Linked DNA regions of Mus musculus: regions 2 and 3 are each reported to be linked to region 1. Evidence: microRNA targets listed by miRTarBase, many of them from high-throughput screens and not tested one by one. Region 1 holds a microRNA gene; each other region holds the end of a gene's coding sequence.

Region 1 (3,232 bases):
CCTACATGAAGATAACTCAATGTCTGAACCCTTGCCCAGGTATATTGCATTCGCAAAGCACACTCATCCAAGTAGCAAGTACTAGAAAGGCACAGCCTGCACCTATGCCCTTGGCATGTGGGTTCAACAAGAAGGCTTACTGTTCTTGCCCTGTGCATTCCTCCAAGAGTTGAACTAAAGAAGAATTTCTCTTCCAGGTGTCGGTATGAGAACTAGAATGAAAAGCTGCGCACTTATGTCAATACACAGTTTACTATGTGCCCCACTTGTTCTTGATACCTGTTAGGGTCATAAGTGGAAATAAAGTTCTACCTATAAAATCTAGGTGGGAAGAGGCCAAATTTGTCACATTTACTCTCCCATGCACCATGCCCGTTGTATTTGTAGAAGGAAAGAAGGTGGGGGGAGGCATAAAAGAAGTATGCAAGCAGCAAACAGATGAGATATGATGCACAGACCTCCTGTCCTTCTCCATGCAGATCAGGCTCACCTTCCCCAAATCCTTGCCCGGGTGCATTGCATACAAATAGCATTTTCACCCAGGGACAAAGGATTAGAGAGGATGAGCAGAGCAGAAGGCCCAGGCACCTGTACCATGTTTGTGTGGTTCTGTATATAATATTTAATTTTCCTTGTCCTGATTCAGCCAAGCATCACCACCTATACCCAAGCTTGACATCCCTGATTTATATATGTATCTGCCCCCTTCCCACCATGAGCATCCTCTCTCAGAGAAAACTTCTACGTATACAAAATGGTATCTCTCCCAGATCATACTTGAGAATTTGTGGGGGCCTGATTTATGTTTGGAAGGTAGCAAGAAGGCTGGGATCTGAGAATGCATATACATACTGAAAGAGGGCACAGTGGAGGAGGATACTCCATTCCTTTCCAATGCCTTTATACAATTCAAGCTTTGTGGAACAGGGGTTATCACTGGATGTAACAAACGGGTTGCCTGAGTAGCAGCACCTAATGTGTGCTCCTCATCACATGATCTGACACTTAGCAAACTGGGAATCAAGAAAGCTCATGCTGAGAATAGAAGCATGTCTACCAAACATGATAAAGACCATTTTGCTGTTAGAAAATGTGTAGAACCAAGTCTGACAGCTAAAACCAAAATCAAATGGTGGCCAGGAGGAGGGAAGGTGGCAGGTGAGATGTGCAAGTATGGGCCATTCTACACGCAGACAAGGCTCAGCCTCTTTGAATCCTTGAACAGGTGTGTTGCACTGAAGCAGCATTCACACCTAGGTTCCAAGGATTCGAGAGGGGGAGCAAGCAAGAAGGCTCAGGAACCTGCCCTTCCTGTGTGTGGTCAATATGCTTGTGTGCAACACACTAAAAGAGAACGAGAGATGCGCTCTGTCCTTTACAAACACAAAGGTCTGGCTCTCAGAATCCTTGCTGAAGAACACTCTCACCCAGGTAGCAAGGATCAGAGAACTGAAGCAGGGCAAAAGGCTCACAGCAAATGAACGCATGGGCTCACCTTTGACACAAGGTGCTTATCTGTGATGAGAAAGAAGACAATGTTCTTGAGCTTCACATTAAGTATGTCTAGGCACCTGAGTTCAACTCCCAGCCTCCACATAAAAGAGCCAAGCGTGAGGACTCAAAGAAAGCTAGATCCCTTGGCCTAACTGGTGAGTGCCAAGTCCCTATTAGAGACTGTTTCAAAAAACAGGGTAGATGTCCCCAAAGGGGAAGCACCTCAGGTTGACCTCTGCACCCTCCACACACATACACAGAAAGAGAGAGAGAGAGAGAGAGAGAGAGAGAGACAGAGTGACAGACAGACACAGAGACAAAGAGAGACAGAGACAGAGAGACAGACAGACAGACAGACAGACAGAGACAGAGAAACCTGTCTAAATATATACATTCATATTTTGTTCTGAGATTATAAAAATATAAAGCCAGAGATACAAAATACTGAAAGAAAAAAAGACAGAGAGACAGAGAGAAGAGGCCATAAGCTCACAAGATGGCAGTAGAGATTGGCATCCTTTAACACACATCAGCATCTTGTTAAAGTTACTTCAGATACCTGGAGGACTTGGTACTAAGATAACTTACAGAGGTTTCTCATTAGTGAGCTCAAGATTTTGTATTTCTAAAAGGGGCTGGGTGATGCTGGGGACCTTACCAGCATCATGGATAAGACAGAGAAACTGTGGAGTTTGGTATCTACAAACCCTGTTTCAAACCTATACTTCACCATGTACTGGATTAAAGAATCTACCTGCTTTCTCCAAGGTCATGGACTACTTCTAAAAAATGAGAATAACAAATGCTATCTCTTTAAAGAGTACCAAAAAAATTAGGTAAGATGCAAGCCTAGAGTAGGATGCAGGACCTGGCCCCTGGCTATTATTTTTACCTCTTACACTACCATTTTTGTACACATGTGTCTAAATGAATGTCCTGTTTACAATAGTATGGTCATACTCATATATGCAAAAGCCAGGTGAAGGAGGCATGAATATCAGTGACTCGGAGAATCTGTAAAAGGCAATGCAAGGACTGGCTCTCTGGTAATTCTTCTTCAATGTGCCTAAATCAACGAAGTTCACACCCCTTTCTGTGAGGGATATGAAAGACAAAATCACAAGTTTCAATCTTTCACTTTCCTACTATATGTCACAGAGAGTGAAGAGAGTCAGGAGTAAGGAGAGAGGGGAGAAGTAGAGAAGGGGGGAGAGCGAATATAAATGAATGACAGTAAGGCATTTTTCTCTATGAGAAAACAAGTGTATCAAACAAAAGAAACCTTCTATGCTCACGGGCCTATATATGATGTACACCTAGCTATAGATGGGCTTCATTCATATTTGTTCTCCTATCTACCCAGCTGATGCAAAAGCATATCTATGACTGTCTAGGTATGTGTTTACAAAAATGTCAGTGTTAACAAACAAGTATACCTTCCTATAACAGCTCCGTCAAAGATGAAAACCAAGAGAGCCCACTACCCTTCCTTAGAGGTGTAAGAGAACAAGGTTAGGGGAGCAGGACTCTGTTCCTGCTAAGCTGTCAGTGGGCCTCTGCATTTGAAGGTTGCCTATGTGTGCTGAGAACGTGATGAATCAGGTTTGACACTTAGAAAGTGGAGGCTAAAGTAAGGAAGTGCATCCTGCAGCTTCTCAGGCATGTATATGTGATCGTACACAGTGAGAATGATTTTCATCCTCCTGTATGCACATGCTACAAAGACTGGACTGCCCAA
Region 2 (3,000 bases), not on the chromosome of region 1:
GATAAGTCTGGGCTACATCAAGAGTTCCAGGCCAGACTGGCCCACAGAAGACCCTACCCCAGAGTACAAAAGGAAGCCAGTCTCCAGACCGATTAGGAGTGGGGAGTAAATGAACTAGCTGCTGAAGTAAATTGTTAATACCGTGAGCTCAGTTTTTTAAAGTCACAATTTTTGAGCACAGTTGAATTTTCTTATAGAGGTTGGTGATCTCTGAGAACTAGAGGCCAGCCTGGTCTAAAGAGTGAGTAGTTCTAAGACAGCAAGGGGTACACAAAGAAACCTTGGGGATAAAATCCAATAGTAACAGCTGGGGATTGATCTCATAGAAGGTGAGTCACAAACTATGAAACACTCCTCAGTGGAAGCTTACATAATTAAAAGCATCTATTCAGCTATGTTCACACAGGAAAAATAGGATGTGTGGTTATGTAGTAAAAAAAAAACAAAAACAAAACCCAAGACATTAAATGGAATATACTGCACAACCATGTAGGCTGGTGCCTTTAAAAAAAGAGACTGAAATACAAAAATAACTTGATATACTCAGAATGTGATTTCTTCTCCCACCTCCAGCACAATGGCCTAGCCTCTCACCCACAGGCAGCACCAGCTCCCCTCTGGGACGTCATCTTGGCACCTCATCTCCAGATGTTCCCTTGCTGTCCCTTCCTGCCTTAGTGCCTTGGCACGTGCCATGCTTGCTGCAGGGAGTGTGCAGCCTCCTCAGCTGAGCAAGTCCTCCTCCACTCCCTAAGGTGATTCCTTTAAAACAGTTTCCCTGAGCCCCTCCCCTTGGCATTCTTCACAGCTCTTCCCTTCCACAGCAATCCTGGGTCTTAAGCTTTCTCTGCTGCCACCCTCCTTCCTAGCACACAGTAGGCCATCAGTGAACACTTCCTGAAGGAAAACAGGTACTGTAACTACCCAGAGCTTCCTGTTTTTTATGTCGCTTCCTAATAGGGCTGGCAGCAGAAGCCAACAGCAGTATGCAGAGGCAGTCGGGTGGCTCATCATTTTCCTAGTGTCCTTTAGTGCACAATGTGTCCTGGGAAGCAACACACAGAGTCCAGTGGGTCTGGCTTACCACCCACAGCTATGCAGCCCTGCCTGGGAGAAAATGTCTCTAAACAGTCACTTTTTTTTTTGGTCAGAAAGAAAAGGATAAAACCAGGGGCAAACTAAGTAAGAGGATGCCCTTCAGGCCCCAGCACAGCGCCTGGCAGTAAGCAACAGTTACACTCGGCAATGGCCACATGGGAGTCTTGTTCTAGCCCAGGTTTACAACACTCATGAGCTGACGTGAAGCTTAGAACCCACCAGACTCAGCACTTACAGGGGAGAAACGGGGTCAAAGAGTACAGTGCTTGCCACAGACGAGAGCCCAGCACCTGCTCTTCAGAAATGCTGTGCCCGTCAGGGTGGTCTGCATGGTCACCCACTGGGGCTCCAGCCTCTAAATGTCCCTGTGCAAGGCAGAATCTAGGACCACTTGGCCCGTCACCTAGAGTTCACTTCTTATGAATGAGAGCAGCAGCATCAGGAGGACCTCACCACACTGGCTGGAGGGACAAAGACTGCTCCCAACCTGGGGCTTCACATGGCCTCTGTGCACGGACATGTCAGAGGCTTGGTGAGTAGTCCTTAGGGGACAGCTGCAGTGAGGGCTGAGACCACAGAGCAGAGGCTGGGAGGGTCTTAGAGACAGCAGCTTTCAGTGCACCCTGCCAGCCTCACTTGTGCAGTGATACTGCTGAGGCCCGGACACTGCCACCCATGGTGGGAGCACATACCTGTCCTCAGAGCACTGCTAACTCCTGCCTGCTGTGTTCACAACAGAGGAGCCCAGGGATGGCAGTGGCTGGGCCTGGCAGTGGAAAGTCTGAGGGCCCTTTAGGGGACCCCCAGAAGAGCAGCCAATAGGCCCACTTGCTTCTTGGCTTTGTCTGCATTTCATTTATAAGGTCACTTTAGGCTTTTGTGCTAATGGACTCCACTGATTTTTAAAAACAAAGGGGAGTTTTCAGGTAGTCATGCATGGCTTTGCATCAAAACTACAGAGATCAAGTGAGTGTTGTGGTAGACACTCCTAATCTCAGCACTTAGGAGGTAGAGGCAGAAGGACCAGGAGTTCAAGGCCAGCCTGGGCTATATGAGATTAGATCTTAACCTTACCCCTTTGCTCCTCCCCCAAACCCTCAACCAAGGGGGGGAAAATATATATGATATATATATATATATATATATATATATACATACACACACACATATATATATATATATATGATATATATTATGTGTATGTATGTGTATATATCAGGGTGTGCCCAGGCTGGAGGTGGGCTGCTTTGTATGTGCATGATCATGCAGCCCAGAGCAGCCCTGGCTGGGGACCATGGGAGCCAATGCCTGGGATGGAATGCCTTCTCTTCCAGGACGTCCTTGGTACTGTTCTCCACCTCTGGCAGAAAAGAAAAGGGATGTGTAATCCCAGGAGCATCCTTAGCAGCCAAGCCTGGTTGAGGGTGGGAGGTGGGGGCTTCAGATGGGATCAAAATTCATCCCGAAGCTGGGAGGGTCTGTCCATGCCAAAGAAGGACGACTGCCTCCCATGGAGGTCCCGCTCCCGCTTCACGAAGGCAGTGAACGAGGAGACACAGTTTCCAATGAAGTGGTCAGCCTGGCCGAGGATGTACAGGTCGATCTGGGCCACCTCGGGTTTCAGGCTCACCACCCTCACCTGTAGGGAGGAAGACAAGAGTATTAGCAGGTACCTCAGGCCAAGGTCAGCTGAGCCGGGACTAACACACCACACTCTCAGCCTTCCTCTCCTGACTGAAGTTTCAGACCAAGAGAAGGTTGGAGAGGATGAAGATTGGGGTCAGTGTTCTGAAGTGTGGTCTCCTGAGTCCTGTCTGCCACGCCATGCCTCAGCACCGCTCCTGCTGGTTCCTTCCGCTGCCTACCCTACAGTGTCCTCACAACTCATCAAAGGCTGCCCAG
Region 3 (3,000 bases), not on the chromosome of region 1:
ACTAGGAACTGTGATTTAAAGAAGCAAGCCTTTAAAAGGTAAAAGATTAACAGGTGAGCTTCTGTTGCTCTAATAGTTGCCAGTCTTGCCCCAGTACTTGGTCCTTTTTTTCACTCTTTCATCTCTTTGGGAGTGGGCAGACCCCTGAATCTAGGTTCTGCTTATTTTGCCTTTTTTTAAAGTTTTATTTGCCAAGGCAGGGACAACTCATGGCCCCAGGAGGTAAATACTTTGACATACTTGAGTGTAACCTAGATTTTATCCATAGTTGTACAGTCATCCTGTTATCATGGAGTAACTATATTATTATGGGGTAGAAATTCAGGTTTGTAGATGTATAAACTGACATGACCACCCCATGCTATGGTTTTTGTTAGAGATATGAGAGAACAGCCAGAGGCATCTGGAAGAAGCCAGTGCAGAGAGAGGAAGTAGATTGAACATAGCTAGGGTGAGAATAGCAGAGGAAAGAGAATAGAGAAAACATTGTTGAGAAAAGCATTAGCAGAATGAGTAAGGGGGTGGGGCACACAGTAAGAACAGGGTTACTAGTGGAGAGCAGGATAGAGGAGGAGGTAAGCAGGGTTAAGGATTAGCATGGACTTTGCAATGTGTAGTAGGTACTTGTGAGCATGTGCTCTCATGTCTCTTCTACCATAAGGGAAATGACTCATTTTGGTCTGAGGACCAGTTCCTGAAGAATGCCGATTTTTATCTAACTACCAGAAACCCACCTATAGTCCACATTGACCTCATTTCTAGATATTTGAAGCTTCCTGTGAACCTTCCAGGTTTTTGTGTGTGTGGGTGTTTTTTTTCCCCCTTTTGAGACAAGGTCTTCCATGTATCCTAGGTTGGCCTAGAACTTGCTATATAGACCAGGATGGCCTTAAATTCAGAGATTTGCCTGCCTAGCCCCTACAGCCTCAAAAGAAGATAAATGTATGTTATTTCTCTCTTGCTGTGATAAATCACAACCAAAAGTTGATTTATAGAACAAAGAGCTTATTTGGATTCTAGAAGGGGAGAATCCATTATGGCAAAAAAGAGTGGCAGCAGAGCAGGAAGCTGAATGAACACATACCAACAACACTGTTCACTTACCAGCAATCTAAAACGTGAGGTTAGCATGGACTTTGGACCTTCTGCCCTAGCGGAGTCTGCAGTCTAGATCCTGTGTACTTACCTACAAACACATGGAGCATTCAAAGAGATCCCAGCCAAACTTGCTTGTCCTCTTCTCCTATTCTTCATGGATTTAAGGCAAATTCTTAAAAAACAGCATGCTTGTTTAAATTGTAAAATTGAACAAATCAACTGTTAGGACAAGCAAGCCATGAGCATCATTGTCTGTGGAGCTCTAGAGCCCTTGAGGGTGATTCACTTGTTAACTGGTTTATATACTGAGAGTCTTAATTATTAAGACATACGAGAAATTGAGGAATGGGTATGATGAAGCGTGCTTATAATCACAGCACTGGGGAGGCAGAACCAAGATCACAAATTTGAGGCCAGCCTAGGCTGCCCAGTTAGACACATTGCTATCTCAAAGCAAAGGGCTAACAATGTGGCTTAGTGTGCAAGCCTGAGATTGATAAGTACAACTGTGCCCCTAACCCCAAAATAAAGCATGGGAACTTAAGTGCATTCAGTGTCAGCCTCTTCAGAATTCCACAAGCATAGGAATAGCTTGTAAGGAAGCCGAGAACCCTGAGGGCATCCTAAGGAGAATGAACCATGGAGTGGAGTGACAGCGCTGAGACTGGCTGAAGATTCCATCACCACCTCTGCATTCCTCTTGCCCTTTAGCCAGGAAATGGAGACTGAGAGCAAAGGTCGGTGCAGTGCCTTGTGGCAGAGTCCCTGGAGGTCTGAGGATGACCCTGGGCTGGACTGGATCTGAGGAAGATGAGAGCCTTCAATCCCTGGCCTGGGCCCTCCTTCCGGGGACATCCTGGGGTGAATATGGCAGCCTCCTTGGAAAAGCTTCACTAGGAGGGACCTGGAATGAGAGAGATTCTCAGTTCTCACACACAAGTGGAGAGGGCTGACCATCCTCCTTGGTGGCCAGGGAGTTTCCAATAATTTAGATGCAGTGATACAGACCAGCTTCTACACCTGTCTTAGTATTCATTTAGTCCCTGCAGAGTTGACAGCAGCAATCTGGAGTATGGTACCTCTCAAACGCCATACTCACGGTACTGAATAAGTCTCAGAAAACAAGGGTCAGTGCCCAAAAAGATTAAGGACTTTAAAAATTAAGATCTTAATTTCCAATCCAAAGAATGCAGCCCTTTTGGATTTCAGGAAGACAATGGGAATATACACTTGCACAATCATTAAATCTTTTATTTACATATAGAAATTAGAAAAACTTAAAACAAAACCAAATGCAACTTGTACAGAAATCCTTTAATTTTCTTTATTTTCACACATTAAAAAAATGAAACACACTATACAAATGGTTTTCATAGCAGATTACACGTGGGTCCATTCAGACTCGCTCTCGTGTGCTGCCTCAGACGACAGCTGTTAACCAGGGAGCCAATGTATTGATTTAAGTGCGGTAGCATGCAGCCTCAGCATGGAAGGTTCGGTTCCCCTCTGTCTGTGAGTTAGGGTAAATGGCATTGGCGTCTGTTTACAGACTGAAATGTGTCAGTCAGTCCTGAGCAGTCCTGCTGTAGCCTGAAACCAGCTGGTGGGAACTGTGGTCTCAGCTTTAAAAATGAAGGTCCAAATGGCGGCAGGCTGGCTGCTATGAACTTGAGTTGTTTCCATTTTATTCACTGGAACTATCTGCTTGTGGGTCATGCAGACCCTGCTAGATGGGTTAAGCCAAGTAACTGTAGGTGTCCTTCTCACCATCGACTCGCTCCAAATATTCTTTTTCGATGAGAATATCAATGCATTTCTGGGCATTGTTTTAGGAAGAAGAGGGAGTTAAAGGGGGAGAGAAATGAAAATAACCATCAGGAAAGAGGTCTGTCACCCTCACCA

The links. The annotated mature microRNA mmu-miR-362-5p reads AAUCCUUGGAACCUAGGUGUGAAU and lies in region 1 at 1,246-1,269, opposite strand. An mRNA with a match to its seed (bases 2 to 7 or 8) in the 3' UTR can be bound and repressed. Matches are read on the target gene's strand: a 7mer-m8 pairs with bases 2 to 8, a 7mer-A1 pairs with bases 2 to 7 and ends in A, and an 8mer does both.
Region 2: the mRNA of Pofut1 is a reported target of mmu-miR-362-5p. The part of its 3' UTR that is shown has no 7-base or 8-base seed match.
Region 3: miRTarBase lists Cul1 as a target of mmu-miR-362-5p. The part of its 3' UTR that is shown has no 7-base or 8-base seed match.

What each region holds. Positions count from the first base shown.
Region 1 is chrX:7,240,774-7,244,005 of GRCm38, forward strand. It overlaps Mir362 (microRNA 362), which reads right to left and starts at 1,273; the gene lies at 1,209-1,273. All of the region lies in intron 2 of Clcn5 (chloride channel, voltage-sensitive 5), which reads right to left. Mir501 (microRNA 501) reads right to left here and starts at 578; the gene lies at 470-578.
Region 2 is chr2:153,265,432-153,268,431 of GRCm38, reverse strand. Pofut1 (protein O-fucosyltransferase 1) reads right to left here. Exons shown (of 7, transcript NM_080463.3): 7 at 1-2,737. The coding sequence ends at 2,549. Among named protein-coding and RNA genes, the nearest start is that of Kif3b, 24 kb to the left of the region's middle.
Region 3 is chr6:47,525,468-47,528,467 of GRCm38, reverse strand. It overlaps Cul1 (cullin 1), which reads right to left. Exons shown (of 22, transcript NM_012042.4): 22 at 2,324-2,914. The coding sequence ends at 2,834. Among named protein-coding and RNA genes, the nearest start is that of Ezh2, 68 kb to the left of the region's middle.